3 linked regions of the Drosophila melanogaster genome follow. The protein of the gene in region 1 interacts with the protein of each later gene in a pairwise test. Each region holds a gene or a part of one and is shown on either strand. Other genes may lie near its edges.

Evidence for each region. The genes of interacting proteins can lie anywhere in the genome.
Region 2: the proteins of CG8230 (region 1) and RpS2 interact in a two-hybrid assay, tested with the Drosophila melanogaster proteins (one large-scale study listed by BioGRID).
Region 3: the proteins of CG8230 (region 1) and mAcon1 interact in a two-hybrid assay, tested with the Drosophila melanogaster proteins (one large-scale study listed by BioGRID).

The regions. Positions count from the first base shown.
Region 1 is NT_033778.4:8,942,113-8,950,798, forward strand, and holds CG8230 (uncharacterized protein), read right to left. Parts: upstream 5,233-8,686; 5' UTR 5,160-5,232; coding exon 5,017-5,159; intron 4,938-5,016; coding exon 3,752-4,937; intron 3,696-3,751; coding exon 3,198-3,695; intron 3,139-3,197; coding exon 3,016-3,138; intron 2,944-3,015; coding exon 2,794-2,943; 3' UTR 2,186-2,793; downstream 1-2,185. Other genes in the region: CG33199 (uncharacterized protein), read right to left, coding at 6,641-6,829, 8,594-8,644; CG8229 (uncharacterized protein), read right to left, coding at 7,468-8,475.
Region 2 is NT_033779.5:9,894,298-9,901,356, forward strand, and holds RpS2 (ribosomal protein S2), read right to left. Parts: upstream 3,256-7,059; 5' UTR 3,176-3,255; exon of another isoform or gene 2,915-3,175; intron 2,835-2,914; 5' UTR 2,834-2,834; coding exon 2,030-2,833; 3' UTR 1,968-2,029; downstream 1-1,967. Other genes in the region: Bka (bekka), read left to right, coding at 1,081-1,083, 1,144-1,743; Muc30E (mucin 30E), read right to left, coding at 3,656-7,059. UniProt on the Drosophila melanogaster protein: Component of the ribosome, a large ribonucleoprotein complex responsible for the synthesis of proteins in the cell.
Region 3 is NT_033779.5:21,164,660-21,175,151, forward strand, and holds mAcon1 (mitochondrial aconitase 1), read left to right. Parts: upstream 1-3,910; 5' UTR 3,911-4,112; coding exon 4,113-4,145; intron 4,146-5,531; coding exon 5,532-7,169; intron 7,170-7,235; coding exon 7,236-7,739; intron 7,740-7,800; coding exon 7,801-7,989; 3' UTR 7,990-8,525; downstream 8,526-10,492. Other genes in the region: Noc2 (nucleolar complex protein 2), read left to right, coding at 1-45, 105-1,379; CG43346 (uncharacterized protein), read right to left, coding at 1,441-1,893; CG43345 (uncharacterized protein), read right to left, coding at 2,020-2,289, 2,344-3,555; CG31627 (uncharacterized protein), read left to right, coding at 8,629-9,183, 9,240-9,473; bur (burgundy), read right to left, coding at 10,215-10,316, 10,374-10,492.

The DNA.
Region 1 (8,686 bases):
TCCAATTCGGCCAACGTGCCTGCTTGGAACTCACGACTTGGACTCACTTCGAGTCTCGACCTGGAATCTGCGATCTGGAACTGAAACTGGGACTGGGCAAATTTCCAAGATTATTGTGCGGGCCTGCATTCGTCGGTATAAATAGAAAATCGGTGGATCAACGACCTGAAGCCGCTTGCCAAAACAAAAAGCGAAAATGCGGGCCCAGCCGCTACGTTGCAACATCATCCATCCCCAGCGGCGACAAATGAACTGGCTGCCGCTCCAGCTCCATTGGAGTGGTCGATCCCCTCCTGCAGAGCAGTGGCCTGGACAGTGGTCCAACAAAGTAATAGCCATCGGTGGTTAGCTTATGCCCATTCGCCGTTCCCGAGAAATAAGTTACAATGGGAATGGGGTTTCCTTAAGCCGTATCTAAAATACAGCATATTTAATATATATATACATATATAAATTAAAAAGCATAATTTTGTTGAAATATATAAGAAACTGAAAACTTTTTCATTGTTATTGGATTAAAATAACATTGGTCAATAATAACACCACGTTATTGCAATAAAATAGTCATATAAGGAAATAAAATTTTTAAAATTCAATGGAATGGCAAACAAATTTGAAGTAGAAAGCTATTTTTAGGCTGTTAAGCTATGAATGGAGTACATGTACAGCCGTTACTTTTACATTTATCTTAACCTATAAGATAGGTAGTCCTTATACATATTATTATTTTGTATTACTTTTGATAAAAGCGCAATTATATGCATTTACGCATTCATGAAATCCTAATACCATTTCAAGCTTTGCCTTTTGTATAAAGCAGCTTACTAAATTGGCGGCCATTTTGAAGAATGTTTCCAGTTAAGAGTGTGCACTAGTTGCTCATTTCCGACCTTTAACAACTGTATCGCGTTAAACCCAATCATTGTTATTACTTATTAAGTTGGTTTAACTAATTTGCGCTGAAATTTGCCCAACAAACCACAATTGGAGCGGGGAGTGGGAGGGGGTAGAGCGCCAATCAAGTGTGCGCATGCGCAACTCTTTTCGAGTTTTCTTTGCCACTTTTCGATATTCGTTTTTCGCAATGGCAGGCCGAGGGTTGCGAACTCGGCTAAGCTTCTGGCAAATTCTATCAATTGGGAAATTGGCAGCACAATACAAATGGCTAACAAAACGCGGCCCGAAGTCAATAAACCTTTTTAGCCAGCATGGAAAACTAATGGCAAAATGGGGGAAGGGGGGTCCAAAAGAAATTTGAAAAATTTTCGCCGTTTGTTGTGGGCTAAAGTGAATTAAAATGCAGCACGCCATGAAAAGCTCACAATAACAAATTTTCCGCCTTTCGGCGGCGATAAAACAAATGCAATTTTTATCGCAATACTAACCTGTGCGTTGTTATTTGTGTACTTGCTTATTTAAGACACGTACGCAGAGCTGACAAGAGTGCAGCAACAGCGACGAGACCACAACAAAACCTTCAGCGGATTGAGCCCCCATCCTCCAAGTCCAGCCCCCTTTACCGCCCAGCCGTTCAAGTCAACGAACCCCAATGTAAGCAGGCAGTAAAAGTCATCTCGTCGTTTTTCCCGCGGCTTTTTAGTCACATATTTAGCCGATGAAGCTGGTGGTGGGAAAAAAACGTAGCAGTAGTAATAAACAATAAACAAGGCAGCCAGCCCATCATCGTTGTTGTTGCAGCCGATAGTGCAAATATGCACAATGAAGTGCAAACAGCGAAGCCCGTATGCGTAGTGGAAATGATAAACGGGAGAAGAGGTGCTTAAGCATTGTTTACCCGGCGTATACGTAATAAAGGAAACTTCATTTGAAGCTTCCGTTTGGCGATATTTCTTTGGCGAAATATAATGAATACCCATTGGGATATGTGGATATTTAGCTTAAAATAAACTGACCAAATACGAACCCAATGAATCTTGAAGTAATATGACTAACCAATACTTCTCAACACTGAATTCTTTCCAAGAAGTGAACTTCGTTTTTAATGATAAATCCATTTCAAAAGACCAACTACTTTTTTCATAAAACACTGCCACGTTCCGATGACGAATTGCAAAGAAGATCTAATCACATTCTTGTTCTGATAAAAACCAACCCAAATAAATTTGGGCTTTCCGCAGATAACACTAAAGGCTGCCATAGACAGAAGAAAAAACACAAGAGCGTTAACTTTAGTTAATATATAGTTTATCGACGTTTTCAATTGCTAAATACAATACAATATATAATTACCATAGACTAAAATGTAAATATATTTTGCATATATTGTATATTCCGATTCTTTAATATGTATATATACTTTTTATTGGATTTGCTGCTTCCCATTGATTAGAACATCGATCTGTAGGCGTACGGAGCTTAACTTCCCTCTAAACATGCTCATTGCAGTCGGCTTGGCAAAATATGATCATGTTTCAAGGTTGCTATATTTTAACTTGAACAACAATTTCCGACCGGATTGCTTGTTAACATACACATTAGTATAAGCGTAGCTATGTCTATGTATTATCGTTAGTTCTCTCGTTTGCTTTGTCTCCTCTTGTCGTCAACGTTCGAGATGCGCATGCCTCTTATTTAGCGCAACATTTCTCTTGCTTTGTTTTGTTTTTGATACTGCATTTCGACATTTTGGGTTGGATCAAAAGGTAGGGCGTGGTATATGGCTTAAAGATCGGGTAATCCCGCACAGAAGACAAACGGAGAAGCATCGAAACATGGTGGAAACCAAAGCGGAGCCGGGTGTGTGCGTGAGAGGAAGGGATAGAGCAGTAAATATTAGCAGGCTATGTCCGTGGTCACGCTCTTGATGCTCTCCGAGCTGAAGTGCACGCAGCCGTACTTGCAGACCAACGTCCACACATATGGAATGAAGAACTCCTCGGGAGCGTCCTCCTCGACGTACTTAAACTTAAGATCCGGGAACTTCTGCAGGATAAACACAAAAAGAATAAGTGAGCCTGCGATTTGAGTGAGTAACTCATCGAGCGGATTACTTACTCTCAGTCGATCGCTGGACCACTGACTGGCACCTTTAGATATAACCTCGAGCACTTCATTGACCCCAAGCTCGCCTCTCTGCTCCTGGACACGCTGCAGACGCGAGGAGAAGAAACCGACAACCTGAAAACGAAGACAGCATGAGACACATCGCATAATCGGATCGGAACTAGTGCGCATACCATGTCTATGTTTTGGATGACATCCTGGAAGGCGTGGTGACTGCGGAAGCCCTCGAAGACGCTGCGCTTGTACAAAAGAGTGTACACCAAGTTGGGACAGTAGACCAACTGGTTTGTGAGGCAGGAGTTTAGGATTTCCAGCACCATGCGCAACACCTCCTCCAGCACGCTCAGATCTTGTAGCATGTCTTCCGGGGTCGTCGAGACGTTCACAAACACTGCGCTATCGGCCGGCTCCTTGAGCTGCGCATCCAGGCGCGTATGCTTCCGAGCGAGCGTTTCGAACAGCGAGACCAGTCGCTGTGCCACGTAAGGGTGTAGAGCGCGGAAGTGGCCGGACATGTTGGCCAGCGCCGCCAGGCAATTGGTGTGCAAGTACTTGTCGCGCATCTTCAGCATGTTGTACTGTATGGTGCGGATGACGATAAGGATTAGGATGCCGCCCAGCGATATCTCCGATATGGTGCGTTCCGTATACCATGTGATGTTTTTTAGCATCTACAGGGATGAGAAAGGATTAGTAATGCAACTATTAGCACGCACAGATGACCTACTATGGTGTGCACATTCTTGTTGAAGCCCTCGTCTTCACTCAGGATCAGCAGCACGATCAAGGACATGTAGATGTGATGTGAGTTGCTATCGGGGGCGTTGTACAGTGTCTGGAGGATGGGGATCACCAACTGCTCCAAGTCCTGTTGCTGCATGACGAACCGGTAGAAGCGCTCGTTGCGATGGAGCAGCAGATAGAGCAGCAGCGTGGCCTGGTCGATGGTAACGATGGTACACAATGTCTCATATACCGCCGAGAAGTCGATCTGGAAGGAGACAGCTCCCTGTTTTGGTGAATCCTTTGAATCGGCGCAACTGAAAAGGCTAGTCCGATAGGCGTTATCCTGTGCCGTGCAGTGGTTAGTCAGTATCAGGATCAGCAACAGGCTCTGGTTGGCCAGTGGGTAGTGGGTACGGAATCGCTGCGAGAGCTCTCCACCGCCGGCTGCTTGGCCCGCTTTCAGTATGTCTGGCTGCTTACGGAACGTGAAGATGGAAAGCAGCGACTCCGCGATGCCAAAGACAAAGGATCCAGCAGAGCTGGACCCAAACATGGTGTGCGGCACCTCCACAATACGCGCCACAAAATGCAGCAGTGCCGACATCAGCACGTTTGCGTGCTGACACTTGAAGACCGTCCGGAACACGATGGACTTGTCCGTGGGCTGTTGGGCAAACAGATGCACTGACAGCAGGGTGATCAGCATGTTAACGGCCTCTAGGTGCAGGTGGTAGGTGAACTCCTTGACGGGAATCACGACGATTAGGTTCACCAGGGCATCGATGAAGGTCTCAAACTTAGATCCGTCCACAATCACTGGAACCGCAGCCGCCGCCGACTGTTCGGTGGCCTCCATGGCAATGGTGGCGCTCTCCGCCGGCGTCTGTTGCTGCTGCTCCAATGCCGCTTGCAGCAGCTCTGCATTCGGCATAGCCTCAAAGTGCTGCAGCAGCTGGAACTCAGAGCCCGTCTCGTTGATGTACTTGACCAGGCTGCGGATGATGAAGAGCGCGTTGAAGGTCTGCCAGACGTGCATGTTGCTTTCCTGGTCCGACAGCGACAGCAGCTCGCTGGTCTTCTCCAGGAACACGGTCACCAGGGAGCCAAAGTTGCCCGTCTTCAGGTTATTGCCGATGAACGACTGGCACAGCGCCTCTAGCCGGCTGTCCAGGTTGAGCTGGTCCTGACTGAAACACACACCATTTCAAACCGCCCGAGATTAGCCCTGCTGACGTTGTTGCTCCACTCCTGTTCCACTCCACTCACCTGTTCTCCGGCAGCACAATGTTGTAGTTGAGCAGCCCGTTCCAGAAGGCCTCGTCATCGTGGGCGATGTGCTGGCGGCCCACGAAGCGCTGGAGCCACTGGTTGGACCCCAGGTCGGCCGTCCTGCTGACGTTGATGCCCATTCCGCAGTCGAAAGAGTGCTGTTGGCCGGCCAATGGTTATATTGGTGGCACGTCACTTGATCATTGAGCGGGGGGGTGAGGTGCTTACCCTTCCAGTGTGACCCTCGCTCAGCGCTGCGGAAATCCGTGCAGCTGTGGTGCCGCCGCTGCGCAATACTTTTGTCACATGTGGCGCAAAATTCAAATGCGGATTTTTGAAGCTGAAACTAAATTTTTTGAACCTTCGGATGTTGAAACACGTTTATGTGCTGTCCATATAAATGTCCTAAAAATGTAATTCAAGACATTAACGCCTCTACAATGAAATGCAATTGCTAAAGCAATTCTTCGGAAACTGTCCTTGGCACTTTATTATTTTAGAAGTGATAAAGAAATTAAAGAATTTTAGGCGAACCATATATTATATATTTTTAGATAATATGTTGGCTTATTAATATTAATATTATTAATAACCACAACATTATTTTTTGGGAATTAAAGTATTTATTTGCATAAACAAGAAAAAAGAAACTATTCAATAGATTGGGGATTTACAGCGAACTTACGGATGGTGGATAAGCTATTTTAACGTAAATATAACTTTTCAAGGGTATAGAGTATCTAGGCCTTGACAGCCGAAAGTTTATGTTATGCTGTTGATTCTTTTAAAGTACTTAGTTTTCACGCAAATCATCAACGAGTCACTAACCCGAGGAACAAATAATTATTTTTTATATTAGACTAGGAACTATAGGAAAATGTTAAAAATGTTTTATTCATAACCTCTAGGTGCTGGCTTAATATTCATATGTGCTTTAGCATGCATGTTTTAACGGAAACTAGAAATAAAAATCAATATTTTCGAATTGAATATAATGCATTTATTTGAATACGGAACTAGAACTAGTTTGTTTCTTGGATACTGACACAGCCTGCTCGGCGATCTGCAGTCCAACGAAGTCATTATTGTTTTATACCTCCCTACTTAGTCGTTTCTCTGGTTTGCAAATAACTTGTAAATAAATATACGTATATAATAGACTTGTTTACACATAAAATAAATATTACTAAAACGGGCAACAAAAGAGTATAGGAAAATTTGGGATTCCCGCAAGCTCAGCGAATCTTCTCCTCCATCGCTCCTTCGTTCAGTTTGTCTGCCGATGGGCTTTTTTCATACACGATTTATCACAAATTTATTCCTTTTAGTTGGCGACGCATGGTGTGCATGTGTAAACAAGAAAATATATCTATATATGCGCACAGATCCTCGCCTCCGATCAGTTAGTTTATCGAACAGAATATTACAAAACAAGCCTCCATGTCCGAGTTCCGCTTGGGTCTGTGGTGAGTGGGTGACTTAACTTAGGCAAATATACACGATGATGGCGGATGATGAAAATATCGAATGTGTGACCTCAGGACATGGCGCTCTGGCTCCTCATCGCCGCTTCAACCGTTGGCGTTGGCATCGCTCTAATCTTTCTGGCTATAGCTCCATTCTAGAGCTTGCGCAGGCCCTGGTGCTTCTGCTTCTTGGCCAGCAGTTGCTTAAGGCTGAACGAGGACAGCGCGATGCCGAAGAGCGCCAGCATGGTGGCAGAGCGGGTCACCACACGGTTGGGCGACGACGAGCTGGTGGTGAAGCCATGGCTGCAGTGCGTCGTGGCCTGTGTGGACAACGTCGGCGCCTGCGGGAGATAAGATAGGGAGACAAATTTAGTTTTTCGCTCGTTTTATATATATCAATCCAAACAAACAATAAACTTGGCCCACTGCCCGACGGCCCCCGCCCACACAGGCAACTACGCAGCAGAAACAATTTACGCCGGCAGTTGGCAACTAGGTTCAAGTGCCCCGGCCGTCCACACGAATGCGATTACCCCACATGGTCGCACGATTATTGAACTGATTGCAAAGGGTCGATGTAATGCCATATTATCGTGACTGACATCACTATCGCAATCACTGTCACAGCGCTTAGATGACGTTCAACTGCATTATCAGTCAGTCTCTGCAGCTCAACAGCTAATCGCGGCTTGAAACAGATCTCCGCGTGACGCAGTTGCCACGACCTCCTTTCCAAAGTTCACTTCCACTGATAGCACGCTCTCTTGTCGGCAGCGCTATCTCTCCTGTCCACTTGAACATGCTCTAGACGCGTGCCGCGAATTAGTAATCCACAATTTGAGTTGCCAAAAAAAAAAAAAAACATAGCGTAACGGACTTGTTTATAAATAAACGAACTTGAATTCTTATCCGGAGGTTTCATGCATTATTTCATATGCAAATTTATTTCAAATACTTGAGTAAGCTAAATGCCAGCCTATTACGTCCGTGGTGTCGTAAGTTTCGCTTCTGTGGTGGTTTCCAAATGCTCGATCAAGTGCATTACATCCTGTGTGCGAATGCCCCCCCTGCTGGTGGTTCCCTTGGCCAGTCGCTTAGGGCGTCTCCCTACGCCACGTAGCGCGGGTTTGGCTTCTGTGGAATGGCGTTTAATGGCGTCTAGAAACAAGCCGTTCATTCCCGTGTTTAACTCCGGAACACTGATAATAATATTGACGGCAGGCGGCGTTGACGGTGGTGACTGACCTTGCGGCTGGGTGGTTGCTTTCTTGGGCGGACTGCTGAAGGGAGACCCCTTAGATTTGATGCTAGGAGACATCCTCACACTTGCCTTCACACAAGCGGGTAGTAATGGTATTTCAGCTTTGCCTTGCCAGCTTTGGGACGTAGCTCCCTTCAGATGAGCCACATGTTCCTTGGCTTTGGTGTCCTCAGTTTGTACTGCTTTTGCCTTGGGCGGACTTATTAATCTGTCGGGTAAGACGACAGTTGAAGGTACTCCCAGCTCTGATTTCAATGCTTGTGGGGGTTCCTTGCATACGGTACTGTTCTCCTCCAGAAAGCTTAAGTCGGGAAGCTCCAGTTGTGGGCAGGGTTTTTCCTCTGAAGGCGAGTGCAGATTTGGCATGGAACTGGAACTCACATTTGTCTTAAGGGGGGTTTCTGTGGCAGAAGTCAATTGCTGCAGCAGTTCCAATATAAATTCGTCATCATTTGGAGGAGGTTTGGACGTTAAGGCCGCAGGGTGAGAAGGTAGCGTAGCAGCAGGAGATTCAAAAAGTTCAGATTGTGGAGCAGTGATGGGAAGTGCTGCCTCCGAGTTCAGATCTTCATCAGAGGAGACCTCATCGTTGTGTGGCCACAAACAGCTCCTGGACTCGCACTTCAGCAGCTGCTCCTCGAGATTAATGTAAAAGTAGCGCAGCTTGTGATTCCTGCCTTCACTCTGGCACTCCAGACACTCGTCTCCCGGCTGCAGTCGCTGCATTCTCAACGACGATTGTGGTGGTCCTTGGTTTGCCCGGCCGAAAAACTCAGAGGTTTCCCCCAGAATGCGCATGCTGTTTCTGCCGTTTGGCTGCCTGGTTTAATGTGCGTGTGCTCACCTGACCGAAGGTTAAACGGAAAGCGTACAGGCCGAGATTGCTTGTTTTCATGGTCCGTTCCAGTTCCAAATCGAGCAAATCGGGACCTGCAAC
Region 2 (7,059 bases), on another chromosome or scaffold:
TCAAACATAAAAATGTTAGTGTAAATAAATTACCTTTATCGGTAAATCCATGTGCTCGCTGCTGCAGCTGGACCCATACATAACCTCAAACCAGAATGTAAATTCTGGAAATAAAAGAAAATGGCATCAATACAGTGTGTACAAGGAGTACTTCCAAATATTTTATATATTTGATTAGGTTTCAGTTTACAATTTTCTGCACGGTTATGAGCTCAGTACAGGTCTGTGTAAAAGATCATCAGAGAAGCATAGACCAACCAAAAGTATTAATATCTTACCTCCAATGTGACAATGGCGTCTCCAGTGGGCTCAGTGCCCAAGGTGTCTCAACGGGCTCACATGTTGTCCCGAGGTGTCTCACATGCACCATGCACGTGGAGTGCCCGGATTTCGATTTATCCAAATGCTTAGGGTTTCAATATTGTTCACTGCAAGAAATACAGAACTTTTAGAACATATTCTTGCCAAACCCAAAGAAAGTTCTTGAAGTTATATGCCATCAGATCGCCGAATCATCTTAAATGAACAAATATATAACGAGGCACTGAAAAATACAGCGCCAAGTCGAGAATTTGTTCCTTCAGTCTCGTCATCTGTTTCATCATTTGAGGCATAACACTCTTCCATTTAAGCACTTTAATTCACTTGATATAAAACTATTTACGAAGAGCACACAACTTACCATTTCGAGTCTTGAAATAAAATGAACGAGTTTCGTCATCGCACGTGGAAGGAAAAATTCTGTGAAAAGATGGCGGCCAACTATCGATGTCTCTGAATGCAACCATGGTAGTATCGTATCGGAAAAATTGTTTGGTTTTTGCCTGATATATATTGTATAAGAATGTGCAATAATTAACTTAACCGAATAAATGATATTCCATTTAATTTTCATTAAATCATTCATAAAATACTTAATATATGAAAAACTTTCATATTTATATGTTAATTCGATGTATCGATTGCCTATCGCTGTCTTCGGTGATCTAGCCCAAACAGCTGATTTTACCAAAATACTTACCACACGTGTGCCACTTTTTAAGTTATATTGTTTACAGTTTTTGGGAATTACAGCTTACAATGGTATATATAAATCTTTAATATTTAATTAAACCCGACCTAACATCTTCAGTTCTTTTGCAGGGAAAACACAAGAAAACGCAGAAGGTTAAGAAACAACGTAATGCACAGCTTAAACGCATCATAAAACCCACAGACGCGCGGCTTAAGGATCAGATTCGAGTGAAAAGAAAGAAGGCCGAGGATCCGCACCAGATCAAGGTGCACGAGGCCACCCAGCAGAGCTCCGCTCTGTTCTTCCAGTACAACACCCAGCTGGGACCGCCGTACCACATCGTTCTGGACACGAACTTCATTAACTTTAGCATTAAGAACAAACTGGATATTGTGCAAGGTATGATGGACTGTCTGTATGCCAAGTGCATACCCTATATCTCCGACTGCGTGCGTGCCGAGCTGGAGAAGCTGGGCAACAAGTACAAGCTGGCCCTGCGCATCATCTCCGATCCCAGATTCGAGCGACTGCCGTGCCTGCACAAGGGCACCTATGCGGACGATTGCCTCGTGGAGCGGGTGCGCCAGCACAAATGCTACATTGTGGCCACCAACGACAAGGACCTTAAGAATCGCATCCGGAAGATTCCCGGCGTGCCCATCATGTACGTGGCTGCGCATAAGTACGCGATTGAGCGTATGCCAGAAGCGTATGGAGTCAAGGCGTAGACCTTTTTTACTTCTTATCCTAAGTGTACATTTTTAAATATATTCTTACATGTAAGCAGCAAGCAATGCGTTTCGTATTTCCTGTTGTTTTTTAGTAGAATGCTTTTACTGCATTGTCTGGATCAACAAAGGAGACATAAGTTCTATTAAGTTACAAATAGTTTAACTACAACAGAATCTCCAAATCGACCAATGTCCACAACAATAACAAACACGAAGCGATTACATTTAAAAGTTTATGACTTTATTCAAAAACTCTGGATTGATTGGCCTCGAAAGTGTTCACTTAGGCATCGGCGTGCAGACGAGGAGTGGGCTTGGACAGGAAGTCCGAGTATGCCTGGTAAGGAGTGGAGCCCAGAGGCATCTCCTTCCACAGATCGGGGGTCAAGTACGCGTACGTCTTGGCGATGGCGGCATATGTAGCCTTGGCGAAGTTGCCGAGGGTTCCAGTGGAGCCACGGGCCGAGGTGTAGCAATCCTCAATACCGGCCATGGTCAGCAGCTTCTTGGGCACGGGGGCCGAGACAATGCCAGTACCACGGGGAGCGGGGATGAGGCGCACGGAGACGGAACCGCACTTGCCGGTGACCTTGCAGGGCACGGTGTGGGGCTTGCCGATCTTGTTGCCCCAGTAGCCACGGCGCACGGGCACCACGGAGAGCTTGGCCAGAATGATGGCACCACGGATGGCGGTGGCCACTTCCTTGCTGCACTTAACGCCCAGACCAATGTGGCCATTGTTGTCGCCGATGGCAACGAAGGCCTTGAAACGGGTACGCTGACCAGCACGGGTCTGCTTCTGGACGGGCATGATCTTCAGCACCTCATCCTTCAGCGAGGATCCCAGGAAGAAGTCGATGATCTCGAACTCTTTGATGGGAAGCGAGTACAGGTAGATCTCCTCCAAAGACTTGATCTTGCCCTCGCGCACCAGGCGTCCCAGCTTGGTCACTGGCACCCACTCCTTGGAGTCCTCCTTTCCACGTCCACGGGCCCAGCGTCCACGGCCACGACCGCGTCCACCACGACCACCACGAGAGCCAAATCCGCCACGGAATCCACTACGGGCTGGAGCTTCGTCCGCCATTCTGAAAGAGAGTTAAAAAAATAGGTTAGGTTCACGTTTTTTATTGTAAATCCTAAGATTTTCTGCTCCCAAGCCAGATACCTAATCTTTAGCCGCAAGTCTCATAGTGACTACCGCAAAATAAAGTAAAGGTGTTAACCCTACTACATATAGTCGCCATTTTGGAACACGTGGTGTCCCCCAAAGGGACAATTGATTTTTACGAAAGATACAACCCATCACTTGGATTTTTACACTTTTAGCTAGCTTTTAGCATATATCAAAACTCTGACTGTGGTATGGCGCATGCTGATTAAATTAAACACCATTTATTTCCCACATAATCCAACCGAAAATGCTTACTTGTAGGTCTATCAACTTTATTGGGGTGAAGACAAAAACGAAATGGCCGAGCCATCCGCTTAGAGCTGGGGCAATCACTTACGATAGTGCCGATACCATCGATAAGCATAATATCGTATGGGAAATCGATATATATACAAATATTTAAATGATGAATTTCAAATTATGTCAAGTTACTTACAAAATACTGTGTAAAAATTTCAGAATTTAAACATGTTTTTTTTTTTAATAGTTTTAAGAGTTTGACGAAATGAATTAGATATATGTGTTCAGGGCTTTTTACATTAAAGCGATTTTCTTTTTAAGCCCAATTTTTGGTCTTGTTTTTGAAGACGAAGATCCATTTTGCTCTTCTTAAAGATAAGTTGAAAAATATAATAATTAAATTTATAAATTATTTATAATTGTATATTATATAAATATATATTTAATGGCACATTTATAATATGTAAGTTCATACAATTTTAATGGTTTTAGTGTTTAACGACCCCAAAAGAAGTTTGGGAAAGGATTCGGCAATTGTGGTAGTGGTGGCAAATTTGGAAGGGAAATTTCTGGTAAGGATATTGCTGTTAAATTTACTTCCGGCAAAGGTGGCAAAGGTGGTAGGGGGGGCAGCGGAGGCAACGCTGTTGGTAAAGGAGGCAAAGGTAGAGGGATTTCAGGAAGTGGCAGTGGGGGCCAGGGCAGGGGCAACGGGAGAGGAGGAAGATCAGGAAGTGGAAGAATTGATGGACCGAGATCAGCGGGTTTGTGATAATGAATATGGTGATGATGGTGGTGAACATGTTGCTCTTCGGTGGTGGTTGATTCCGTGGTCGTATTGCTCTGATTCGATGAATTGGTAGTAGTTTCTACGGATGTTGGTTCCTGATTTGTTGTACTCATTTCAGCTGTCGTCCTTTTTGTTGTTTGATCTGCTGTTGTCTTAACCGATGTGCTTGTCTCCCGAGTGGTTGGCTCTCTGGTTGTCTTTGTGGTAGATGTCTTGCGAGTAGTTGGTTCTTCGGTAGGCTTTAAAGTAGTTGATTTCTTAGTTGTGGGTTCATGAGTCGTCTTCTTAGTTGTTGTCTTCTTGGTGGTTGGTTCTTCTGTTGTCTTATGGGCTGTTGTCTTACGAGTGGTTGGCTCCCGAGTTGTCCTTTCAGTTGTTACCCTCTTTGTAGTTGGCTCTCTAGTAGCCTTTGTGGTTGACGTTTTGCGAGTAGTTGGTTCTTCGGTAGGCTTTAAAGTAGTTGATTTCTTAGTTGTGGGTTCATGAGTCGTCTTCTTAGTTGTTGTCTTCTTGGTGGTTGGTTCTTCTGTTGTCTTATGGGTTGTTGTCTTACGAGTGGTTGGCTCCCGAGTTGTCCTTTCAGTTGTTACCCTCTTGGTAGTTGGCTCTCTAGTAGTCTTTGTGGTTGACGTTTTGCGAGTAGTTGGTTCTTCGGTAGGCTTTAAAGTAGTTGATTTCTTAGTTGTGGGTTCATGAGTCGTCTTCTTAGTTGTTGTCTTCTTGGTGGTTGGTTCTTCTGTTGTCTTATGGGTTGTTGTCTTGCGAGTGGTTGGCTCCCGAGTTGTCCTTTCAGTTGTTACCCTCTTTGTAGTTGGCTCTCTAGTAGTCTTTGTGGTTGACGTTTTGCGAGTAGTTGGTTCTTCGGTAGGCTTTAAAGTAGTTGATTTCTTAGTTGTGGGTTCATGAGTCGTCTTCTTAGTTGTTGTCTTCTTGGTGGTTGGTTCTTCTGTTGTCTTATGGGTTGTTGTCTTACGAGTGGTTGGCTCCCGAGTTGTCCTTTCAGTTGTTACCCTCTTGGTTGTTGGCTCTCTAGTAGTCTTTGTGGTTAACGTTTTGCGAGTAGTTGGTTCTTCGGTAGGCTTTAAAGTAGTTGATTTCTTAGTTGTGGGTTCATGAGTCGTCTTCTTAGTTGTTGTCTTCTTGGTGGTTGGTTCTTCTGTTGTCTTATGGGTTGTTGTCTTACGAGTGGTTGGCTCCCGAGTTGTCCTTTCAGTTGTTACCCTCTTTGTAGTTGGCTCTCTAGTAGTCTTTGTGGTTGACGTTTTGCGAGTAGTTGGTTCTTCGGTAGGCTTTAAAGTAGTTGATTTCTTAGTTGTGGGTTCATGAGTCGTCTTCTTAGTTGTTGTCTTCTTGGTGGTTGGTTCTTCTGTTGTCTTATGGGTTGTTGTCTTACGAGTGGTTGGCTCCCGAGTTGTCCTTTCAGTTGTTACCCTCTTTGTAGTTGGCTCTCTAGTAGTCTTTGTGGTTGACGTTTTGCGAGTAGTTGGTTCTTCGGTAGGCTTTAAAGTAGTTGATTTCTTAGTTGTGGGTTCATGAGTCGTCTTCTTAGTTGTTGTCTTCTTGGTGGTTGGTTCTTCTGTTGTCTTATGGGTTGTTGTCTTACGAGTGGTTGGCTCCCGAGTTGTCCTTTCAGTTGTTACCCTCTTGGTTGTTGGCTCTCTAGTAGTCTTTGTGGTTGACGTTTTGCGAGTAGTTGGTTCTTCGGTAGGCTTTAAAGTAGTTGATTTCTTAGTTGTGGGTTCATGAGTCGTCTTCTTAGTTGTTGTCTTATTGGTGGTTGGTTCTTCTGTTGTCTTATGGGTTGTTGTCTTACGAGTGGTTGGCTCCTTTGTTGTTCTTTCTGTTGTTTTCCTCTTTGTAGTTGGCTCTCTAGTAGTCTTTGTGGTTGACGTTTTGCGAGTAGTTGGTTCTTCGGTAGGCTTTAAAGTAGTTGATTTTTTAGTTGTGGGTTCATGCGTTGTCTTTTTGGTGGTTGGTTCTTCTGTTGTCTTATGGGTTGTTGTCTTACGAGTGGTTGGCTCCTTTGTTGTTCTTTCTGTTGTTTCCCTCTTTGTAGTTGGCTCTCTAGTAGTCTTTGCGGTTGATGATTTCCGAGTAGTTGGTTCTTCAGTAATCCTTAAAGTTGTTGATTTCTGAGTTGTGGGTTCATGCGTTGTCTTTTTGGTTGCTGGTTCTGCTGTTGTCTCATGGGTTGTTGTCTTACTGGTGCTTGGCTCCTGAGTTGTCCTTTCAGTTGTTTCCCTCTTTGTAGTTGGCTCTCTAGTAGTCTTTGTGGTTGACGTTTTGCGAGTAGTTGGTTCTTCGGTAGGCTTTAAAGTAGTTGATTTCTTAGTTGTGGGTTCATGAGTCGTCTTCTTAGTTGTTGTCTTATTGGTGGTTGGTTCTTCTGTTGTCTTATGGGTTGTTGTCTTACGAGTGGTTGGCTCCTTTGTTGTTCTTTCTGTTGTTTTCCTCTTTGTAGTTGGCTCTCTAGTAGTCTTTGTGGTTGACGTTTTGCGAGTAGTTGGTTCTTCGGTAGGCTTTAAAGTAGTTGATTTTTTAGTTGTGGGTTCATGCGTTGTCTTTTTGGTGGTTGGTTCTTCTGTTGTCTTATGGGTTGTTGTCTTACGAGTGGTTGGCTCCTTTGTTGTTCTTTCTGTTGTTTCCCTCTTTGTAGTTGGCTCTCTAGTAGTCTTTGCGGTTGATGATTTCCGAGTAGTTGGTTCTTCAGTAATCCTTAAAGTTGTTGATTTCTGAGTTGTGGGTTCATGCGTTGTCTTTTTGGTTGCTGGTTCTGCTGTTGTCTCATGGGTTGTTGTCTTACTGGTGCTTGGCTCCTGAGTTGTCCTTTCAGTTGTTTCCCTCTTTGTAGTTGGCTCTCTAGTAGTCCTTGCGGTTGATGATTTCCGAGTAGTTGGTTCTTCAGTTATCCTTAAAGTTGTTGATTTCTGAGTTGTGGGTTCATGCGTTGTCTTTTTGGTTGCTGGTTCTGCTGTTGTCTCATGGGTTGTTGTCTTACTGGTGCTTGGCTCCTGAGTTGTCCTTTCAGTTGTTTCCCTCTTTGTAGTTGGCTCTCTAGTAGTCCTTGCGGTTGATGATTTCCGAGTAGTTGGTTCTTCAGTTATCCTTA
Region 3 (10,492 bases), on another chromosome or scaffold:
GTTCTGGCCTTTCTCTGCATTCTGAAGATAACCAGGAAACAGCAGGTAAATATTCTGAACTAGACACTTATTGTGACCCCTGCTAACACCAATGGTTCTTGCAGGCGACCATGCTGAATCACGTTCTAAAAGCCATGTACCTGGCCTATGTACGCAATTCCAAGTTCGTGTCGCCGAACACTTTACCAGGAATCAACTTTATGCGCCGCTCGCTGGTGGAGATGTTCGCGTTGGATTTAAACGTCAGTTATCAACATGTCTTCCTCTACATCCGACAGTTGGCCATTCACCTGCGAAATGCAGTGATCCTTAAGAAAAAGGACAGTTTCCAAGCGGTTTACAACTGGCAATTTATTAACTCGCTGCGCTTGTGGGCAGATCTCCTGGGAGCAAGTGCGAACAAACCACAGTTGCAGCCTCTGATTTATCCCCTTGTTACCATTGCCACCGGAGTGATTCGACTGATACCCACCGCTCAATACTTCCCATTGCGATTCCACTGTCTGCAGACCCTAATTTCACTGGCCAAAGAGACAAACACATATGTGCCGGTGCTTCCACTCATTGTGGAGGTATTAAAGAGCAATACCTTTAACCGCAAGCACTCGGCGGTATCCATGAAGCCAGTGCAGTTTACCTGCGTCCTTAGGCTTAACAAAGGGCAGTTGGCGGAAAATGGCTTCCGCGATGAGGTGATCGAGCAGGTGTGTGGGCTTCTGTTGGAATATCTCGCTCATGAGTCCACCTCGCTGGCCTTTAGTGATTTGGTGGTGCCCACTGTCATGGCCATCAAAACGTACCTTAAGGAATGCAGGAATGCCAATTATGCTCGAAAACTTAAACAGCTGCTAGAGAAGATTCAGGAGAGTGCCCGCTTCATAGAGCAGCAACGTGGCAAGAGCAGTGTCACTTTTGACATAAAGGATGCGCAGGCGGTCGCCGCCTGGGAGCAGCAACTCCGTCTTAAGCGCACTCCACTAGACGTCTACTATGCCAGCTGGCTAAAGACACACGAGACCAAGAAGCGACGACAGGCAGCACATACAGATGAAATCAATGCGGACTATGATGTGCCCAAGCTAAAGAAACTACCGGTCAAAACCGGAGTACCAGTGAGAAATGAAAACGGCGAGGTCGAACTCTTCCCCTCGGACTCGGAAGATGAAGGCGATGATGGCCTGCATTTGGGATCAGATGATGATGACGACGAGGATGTACAGGAGGAGGAGGAGGTGGAAGTTGAGCACCCTAAAGCCAAAAAGGCGAAGAAAGAGAAGCCCGAGAAACAAAAACCTCGGCCAGCAACAGTGGAAGATGATTACGACGAGGCGGGTGGAGCCGTGGATATTGTTAAGGACTTAGATTTGAACGAATGGTAAAACATTTAAGATCAATTTAACTATATTTACACATTAAATTAAAAGGAAAACCAATATAGAGTTACTTCTCCGGTGGCTCCTTGCCAGGAATAAACTCATACTCCTTGTATTTGGGAAAGGTTCCAATAGTTGGTCCGTCCACCTGCTTGGGCAGTGCCTTGTCGTCCTTGCCCTTGGCGTATGTTGCTTCCAATTCGGCGGCGTTGCGTTTCTTCATGTCCATAATCTGAAGATTTTTCACCAGCTCTTCGCGGGTGGGCGGCTCCTCCCGGCGCCCTCGTAGCCACGCCTCCCATTCGGCAGTCAGCTCCTGGTCGAAGGCTTCCTTATCCGCTGGCTCGAACCACCGGGAAGGCTTCCTCTTTCCAATCGAAGGATTTGCAGGAATTTCGTAGTACTTATTCCCGAAATAGTCCTCCCCAATGTAATCCCCACGAAACTGCCGCGGTCGTAGGGACTTCCAAAAGTTCTTGAAGATGATGCCGATCACATCGCGCGTCGGCTTGTTAGCCATGCTTATTTTAACTTAAGAGCGAGGAACTTAAATTTATTTTAGAATTTGAGGTTAGGTCTTGCGTTTGTTATGACATGAACAGCTGGTGGCGGTGTTGCAAAATGCCGGCAGGTTTAAAAGCGTAATTCAAATTCGTAAAATTGGTTTCAGTGGCAATGCATAGGGACTAAACCAGTCCCGCAGAAAAATTGCCATTAAATCTGTACGGAGACTATTATTGTTGTATTCCATGTCCTGGAGTACTAATCCAATGCCAGCTGAGTAAGTAAAATGCTCTCCCGAAAAACTGGAGGTGCCTATAAAGGCAACCCTATCGGTGACTAAGTACGAGTTGCAGTTAACTCTACCGCCGGAAATCCTCTCCAGTTCATTTGTGGTGGGTACAACAAAACGTCGCTGCAAGAGCAAAGAAATTGTTAATAAAATTGCCAATACTTATAAGCTCATTACCATTTGTATATCTACTCCTTCCGTAATTTTGTCGAGCGCTTGAAGGGACCTCAAGAAGTGATCCTCGCTGGGATCCGAATACTTCCACCATGAAATAAGCACCTTAATGGCCACACCGCGTTCCAAGGCAGCTCTACGCAGGGCATTGTCTATGACCGGCCAGTACTCCAATTTGTTACTCCGTCTTAGCCGAGGAGAGTACTCCATTAAGGAGAGGTATATAACGTCTGTGGCCTTGTCGATAGCCTCTAAAATGGCATCTAGCTCTCGGGTCCTTCCAGTAGCGATCAACTCTGGTGGTGATGTGGATAAATAAGCTCTCATTGTATGTTTTTTGTTGATGTTTAGCAAAAGCGGTCTTCTTTGATTGATGTGCGTGTGGTATATCCACGGCCAGCTCTTTGGCACTTCATTGCTGCCCAGGTACCAATACGCCTTGAAGATCTTTCCCAGATCTAGAGCAAGATGGGGACAATTTCTGGCCAGCACACCTAGTTCCTTGCGTTGCGTCAGTGATCGCCAGTCCATGCTAGCTGTGCCCAAGTAGAAGTGCTCCCCGTCCACTAACCACAGTTTTGAGTGCAGAAAATTAATGCCCACGACGTCGGCTGCTCCGTAGTTAGCCAAGATACGGGCATCAGCATGCCACAGGCTATCGTGGCTGCGATTAACCACAATCCGCACGCGCAGCTTGGGTCTGCCGGCATCTCCATTCGACAGTAGCTGCTGAAAGAGTTGATCTCCAGGCCCGGTGCTGCTATCGTTGACGTCCAAGCCGCGCAGTGTCCAGTGCGGAGAAACGATGTCCAACGATGCCTTGGCCCTGCCTAGTAGTAGCTGCCAGGCATCAAAGGTGCTACTCAGTTGGGGGTGGCTTTGCCATTGGCTGTAGTTCAACCCCAAGGGCAAGCTCTCCACCAGTTCGAGTTGACATGGTAACGGCTTTTCCACCGGAACGGGGCTGTTTCCGTTTTCATTTCGATGGTAGGTCTCCCAAGGCAACAGAAGCACAATCATCACCAGAACGAAGAGTATAAGCACTGGTATGATGTAGCCGTGCTTGCAGGAACAGATATTTCGCTCATCCTGGAGCCCTAGGCCGCAATTGGGACGCCGGCAACACGATGTGGTCAAAGGGGTTGGCTCTTCCGGTGCTCTGGGCACTGGCTGGTACTCTCCGGGTATCTCATGCACTACGCGACGCTCGGACATGGCAAGGGGATCAGGACTAATGCTGACTGGCCATTGTCAAACATTTTTCACAGCCGAGCCTATTTATTATTCGCGCAGTTGTGGGAAAGTATCACCCGCCCACGCAAACAAATGGGCAGTGTTGGACAGCACAGCGCGGTAGTCGTCTGCGCTGGCTGCTAAAAAAAAGCTAAAGGATAAATTAATCCAAGTCCCTGCTCAGAAAAATAAGTTGTCGTCAGTGCATTATTTCAGCATTTACTTCGATTTAAGTTTTAACGCCATAGAGTCCATTAATTCTCTTGAAGTTAATAAATGTTTATCGCTTTAATTCAAAACTGATAAACTTTCTATGGTCCTATTTATTTAACGACCCAATTTTGGCGGGAAACAAGCCGGCGGAACATTGCTGACGCGTATGCGTGACGCCAGCTAACACTGGTCGCCGTGGTAAAGAATTTAGTCTGTCTTAAAATCTTCCGGCTGAGAGGGCTGAAAATTTTGACGGCTTCGAAGCATTTGCTGCAATATCAATTTCGTCGGGTTTATTTCGAGTATCGCTTAATCAGGACGCGACCATGGCTGCGAGATTGATGAACGCCCAGGCACAGGTAGGTTCTAGAGCGGAGCCTGTGCCTCCAGTCGGCCAATATATAACCACGGCTATATATACGTTTACGTATAGAATCTGTGAATGGAACCCCGAAATTCCAAGCTGCGATAAAGACAACTGGACAGAGCACTGCGCGAAAGTTTACAAAAAATCATTGCCCATTTCTTACACACCCAGCAGGATGTGGGCAGCGAAAAATAGCAAATTTTTCGCACAGCGTTTTCTAACCTAAAATCATAAAATTCGAAGTGGTTAGGTAACCGAGTTCGCAGTGTTTGTGATTCTACAGGCCCTGCATCCCAAACATGTATACTGAATACGCAGCAGTGAACCATGCGAAATCGTTAGCTCTCAACAATTAACAGCGATTCGTGGGGGTTCGATGGTTGGCATAGTTGCATTTACATAATCGCCGGGGTCCAGTTATTTAACCAGGAGGCGAACACCCTCTAGAGCATATATCTTGTGGCGGAGGACCGTCTTATCTGTGACAGGTTTACTTACACTTTGATAATGCCAGCACTAAATATAGCTTAAAAAAGTTGCGCCGTTTAACTTGAGTATCACGCGCATTGGAGGAGTTTTGCCTTTCAAGTGGGGTTTTTCCACGTCAGCTTCGAGAAAGGTTTCACTGTACTCTGCCCATAAGTTAACGACCTATTTGACGTAATTGTCATTGCAATTGTTTCGATTTGCGTGTATGTACATACAGTCGTGTCGTCACGTGGTTCTTCTAATTGGAGTGTTCTGTAGAATATTGTAACAATTTGAAAGGCTTACAAACAAACTATATTTCCAGCTACTTTTTATTTTTTTATTCTGCAGTTCGAAGAACCTTAAAGCACTTTGGCTAGCACTTAAAATACTTTGATTGTTAAATGTAAACTTTCAATCATTTTACTAATCTCAAAAAAATATTTGGAAAAATTTCACTCTGAAGCGGTAAATGGATCAATGGATTATTTTTGGCTATTCAAAAATTTCAAGACGATTAAAATTTATTAGCTTTAGCAATATATTGATCTTAAAACAAGTGAAAGCGGTGATAATAATGTTTTACATTTGTTATATATGTATGCAAGATTAAATGTACAGTAAAGAAGAATTTTCACAGATATGGTCCCCACATGATTGTACTCTTGTCAGAATATCTTTGGGAATTATCATTTCCTGATAGAGGAATCAATTTAATTAAAGTGACGAGGACTCGTCCTCTTGACATGATAATCAAGTGTTTATTGGGCTACCAAGCGAATAAATAAAATCTCACAGTGTGCGAAGTGCAAATAAACTAGAGAATCACATTGTGTTAATTACTTGATCTTGATTGCTAAATGTACCACTTCACCATATTTAACAGTTCGACTTCTTATCTGCTTTCCAGGTGTGTCGACTGGGCAAGCATGTTGCGTCCGAAGCCACAGTGGTGCGTCAGTTCCACGCCTCCTGCTACACCGCCTCCAAAGTGGCTCTGTCCAAGTTCGACTCGGACGTCTACCTGCCGTACGAGAAGCTGAACAAGCGCCTGGAAGTGGTGCGCGGTCGCTTGAACCGCCCACTGACTCTCTCCGAGAAGGTGCTGTACTCGCATCTGGACGATCCCGCAAACCAGGACATCGTGCGCGGTACTTCGTACCTGCGTCTTCGCCCCGATCGTGTGGCTATGCAGGATGCCACTGCACAGATGGCTCTGCTTCAGTTTATCTCCTCCGGACTGAAAAAGGTGGCTGTGCCCTCCACTGTTCACTGTGATCATTTAATCGAGGCCCAGATTGGTGGACCCAAGGATTTAGCCCGTGCCAAGGACCTGAACAAGGAAGTGTACGATTTCTTGGCCAGCACCTGTGCAAAGTACGGATTGGGCTTCTGGAAGCCAGGCAGCGGAATCATCCATCAGATCATTCTGGAGAACTACGCTTTCCCCGGCCTGCTGATGATTGGTACTGACTCACACACCCCCAACGGTGGTGGCTTGGGTGGCCTGTGCATTGGCGTTGGTGGTGCTGATGCCGTCGATGTGATGGCCGACATCCCCTGGGAGCTGAAGTGCCCCAAGGTGATTGGTGTCAATTTGACTGGCAAGATCAGCGGCTGGACCTCGCCCAAGGATGTTATCCTGAAGGTTGCCGATATCCTGACCGTCAAGGGAGGCACCGGTGCCATCATTGAGTATCACGGCAAGGGTGTTGACTCTATCTCTTGTACAGGCATGGCCACCATCTGCAACATGGGTGCTGAGATCGGAGCTACCACCTCTCTGTTCCCCTTCAACCAGCGCATGGCTGATTACCTGAAATCGACAGGCCGTGCTGGCATTGCCTCCGAAGCCCAGAAGTACCAGGCCAAGATTCTGTCCGCTGACAAGAACTGCGAGTACGATGAGCTGATTGAAATCAACCTAGACACCCTGGAGCCCCATGTTAACGGACCATTCACTCCCGATTTGGGCCATCCCATCAGCAAGCTAGGCGAGAACTCGAAGAAGAACGGGTACCCTATGGACATCCGTGTAGGTCTTATTGGCTCTTGCACCAACTCTTCGTATGAGGACATGGGTCGCTGCGCCAGCATCGCCAAGGATGCCATGAGCCATGGCCTCAAGTCGAAGATTCCTTTCAATGTGACTCCCGGATCAGAGCAGATCCGTGCCACCATCGAGCGCGACGGCATCTCTGAGGTGTTCGACAAGTTCGGCGGTACCGTTCTGGCCAACGCTTGCGGTCCCTGCATTGGACAGTGGGATCGTAAGGACGTTAAGAAGGGCGACAAGAACACCATTGTCACCTCCTACAACCGAAACTTTACTGGCAGGAACGACGCTAACCCGGCCACCCATTGCTTTGTCACTAGTCCCGAGTTGGTCACCGCTCTGTCCATCGCCGGTCGTCTGGACTTCAACCCGCTGACCGACGAGCTTACTGGTGCTGATGGCAAGAAGTTCAAGCTCAAGGCTCCCTTCGGCGACGAGCTGCCCGCCAAGGGTTTCGATCCCGGCCAGGACACCTACACTGCTCCCCCACCCGTAAGTACATTTAAATTCCCAAACTGATTTATATTGTTCTTAAGAATCAATATGGAAATCCCACAGAGCGGCGAAAATGTCAAGGTGGCTGTCGACCCCAAGTCGACGCGTCTGCAGCTGCTGGAGCCTTTTGACAAGTGGAACGGCCAGGATCTGACCGATCTGACTGTGCTGATCAAGGTTAAGGGAAAGTGCACCACTGACCACATCTCCGCTGCCGGACCCTGGCTGAAGTACCGTGGCCATTTGGACAACATCTCCAACAACATGTTTATCGGAGCCACCAACTACGAAAACAACGAGATGAACAACATCAAGAACCAACGCAACGGTAGCTGGGGAGGAGTTCCCGACGTAGCCCGCGACTACAAGGCCAACGGCATCAAGTGGGTGGCCGTCGGCGATGAGAACTACGGCGAGGGTTCGTCCCGCGAGCATGCCGCTTTGGAGCCCCGTCACCTTGGTGGTCGTGCCATTATCGTCAAGTCCTTCGCCCGTATCCACGAGACCAACCTGAAGAAACAGGGTCTTCTGCCTCTCACCTTCGCCAATCCCGCTGATTACGATAAGGTTTGCGACTCTTAGCTTCTGTGACTAAGGTCATATTAACCATATCTTTGTACTTCAACAGATCCAGCCCACGAGCAAAATCTCCCTGCTCAACCTGAAATCCCTTGCGCCTGGAAAGCCCGTAGATGCCGAAATCAAGAATGGCGACAAGGTCGAGAGGATCAAGCTTAACCACACCCTGAACGACCTACAGATCGGCTGGTTCAAGGCCGGCAGCGCTCTCAACCGCATGAAGGAGCTGGCCCAGTAAATGGTCCTGGACCTACTTAAGACACCCAGTCAAGAAGCCTGATCCCAACCTTCTTCCTGTAGGTGAACACACTCAAATTCACAACGGAAGCAATCGAATTATGGTATTGTTATTCAATTCTTTTCAAATTGTTTATATTATATTTTGACTATATCGAGTGTGCAGCTTTAAAAGTGAATTATGTAGCCGAACGATAGCGAGAAATTGTAAGAGTTTTATATATATAATTATACACAATTTTATTTTTAATTCTGGCTATGCATGCGTTTCCTTCAATTTTTGTTCTTTTTGAATTTGTCCAAATGCTCTACAGATTGCCTCTACTATGAAACTGTTTTAAGTGCGAATAAAACTCAAGTAATATGTATTAAACCGATTCTTTCATTTAATAAACAACAGTTAAAACAAAAAAGCGGACAATAAGTGCCGTCAATTCATCCCGTGTCCTCTATATTTTCTTCATTATTAACATAATTTTATCAATTATAAGACGTAAGACACAACAATTTGCACAATAAAGCATAATATCAATAATAGAATCTACTGGGGCAGATTACTTAATTATTCACCCATAGCTTTTGGAAAATATGTCGAATTGTCAATCAAATATAAATTATTAGTAAATCCAATTCTAGGACTATGAAACGCAGAGCTCAAAGTAAAACTTCCGTTGCTTCCAGCACGGATTTCTTTTCACTCTCCGACAAGCCATCGTTGGGAAGAAGACGAGCCCTACTGGCTGCAAAACTTAAGCGTCAGGAACAGAGTACAACGTCCTTTGACTCCAGCACAGGCTCCTACACTTATACAGACGCCACTTCTTTGCGAAAGACCCCCATCACCTTCTCACCTAGCCCGGAGTTCATGAAGACCGCCAAGGCTAAATTAAAGTTAATCGCATTGTATGAAGATCACAAATGCTTGTGGAATCAGCGCAACAAAGATTTCTTCAATTTCGAGCTCAAAGACAGAATCTGGGATGCGATTGCCGATGAAATGAAAGCGGACTCGCCATCTGGGTTTTGGAAACATATGATTCACAAGCTTCGCTATAAAGTTGAGATGGAGCGCATACAAGAGCAGGGTGCAAAGTTTTCGGGTGAATCGCCGCAGCCAAAACTATTTTATTCAGATAATCTGCTGTTTCTAAATCACATGTTTGACCGAGAAGGGGGAAAACCCCCTCGAGAGATTGTATGTTTATAGTTAACGAACAAATCACTTTAGTATTTATTCTACTTTTTACTCAGCCAATGCATCTTAAGCCTTCGGGACCTACTCTCGAAAAGAATCCGTCTAGAAACCTGCGACATGTTCAGGAAAAACGTAAACGTACGCCCATTAGAGAAAAGATGGCTTCGCTTGAGAAGTTGAGGAATCTCCAAAATAGCAAGTTTGTTCTCTCCCGCGACGCTTTTCAAAAAATTCAAAAAATTACTAGTGGCGGTCCCTATTACTTGACAAAAACAAAGATTAGACCATAGGCCTTGATTTGAATATCTCAAAATAAAAAAATGCAATGCAAACACATTTGAATCGATTTTTCGCTTTATTACATTTCTTGTATCATAATCGTTTTGTTTTTCTGGTTTTGCCATTTTTTAAATATTGACGTTTTATATAACAATTCATAATTTTAGCTTACAATATTTTTGTTTTGTATTCTTAGAATCGTTTATGCCTTTTGCCATGAAAACACTTCTCTCTCTAGCAAATATACAATTTTCGAAACTTGTGATTTTGCAATTATTTATTATGTATATTATATATATTATATGTATATAACTAAAAATGCGTAAATTAATTTTTTTTTGTTTGTTACGTGGTTTGTGGGCACATTCCTTTTATCAAAAGGAACAAAACATGAAAATGTACATAAGTGTTATTGGCAAATAGTTTACCATCTGTTTTAGATCTTGATACACATACGTGCATCATCGATATAAAGAACCTGAATTGTTTTTAAATTTCGAAGCGGCAGTTGCAGTTCTGTATTTGCGCCTCATGAATTGCTCGTTTAACGTGTCTCTCTAAAAGGCAGGAGCAGCTGTGAAGTGCTCGAAGGCAAGGGTCGATCCGTCCGCCGTTGGATCTTTATCCTTCCTGACCGTCCATTGATTGGCCATTGTCCTATTATCGAGAGCCCGCCGCTTATTGGTTGGTTGATTATTTTTTCTCTCATCTATTTTTATGAAATGGCTGTTAAAAATTTTGGTTTGAACGCATCATTCCCATTCGGTGGTGCCCGGCGGCTTGGCTGTCAAGTCGTACAGCACCCTCGAGATTCCATCCAGCTTGGATATATCGCGTACAATTTGATTTAGGACCTTTGAGCAGGAAAAGATTAAATATACATTTTTCAGAAAGATTGAAAACTGACTCACTTGCAAAGGCATTTGCACGGATCCGGGCTCAGCCGGCACACCAGTCATAAAGTCGTTCGTTATGAACGGACGCAGCACTACCGACCTTCTGCACGAGGGTGTGCGGTTAATGGGATCGC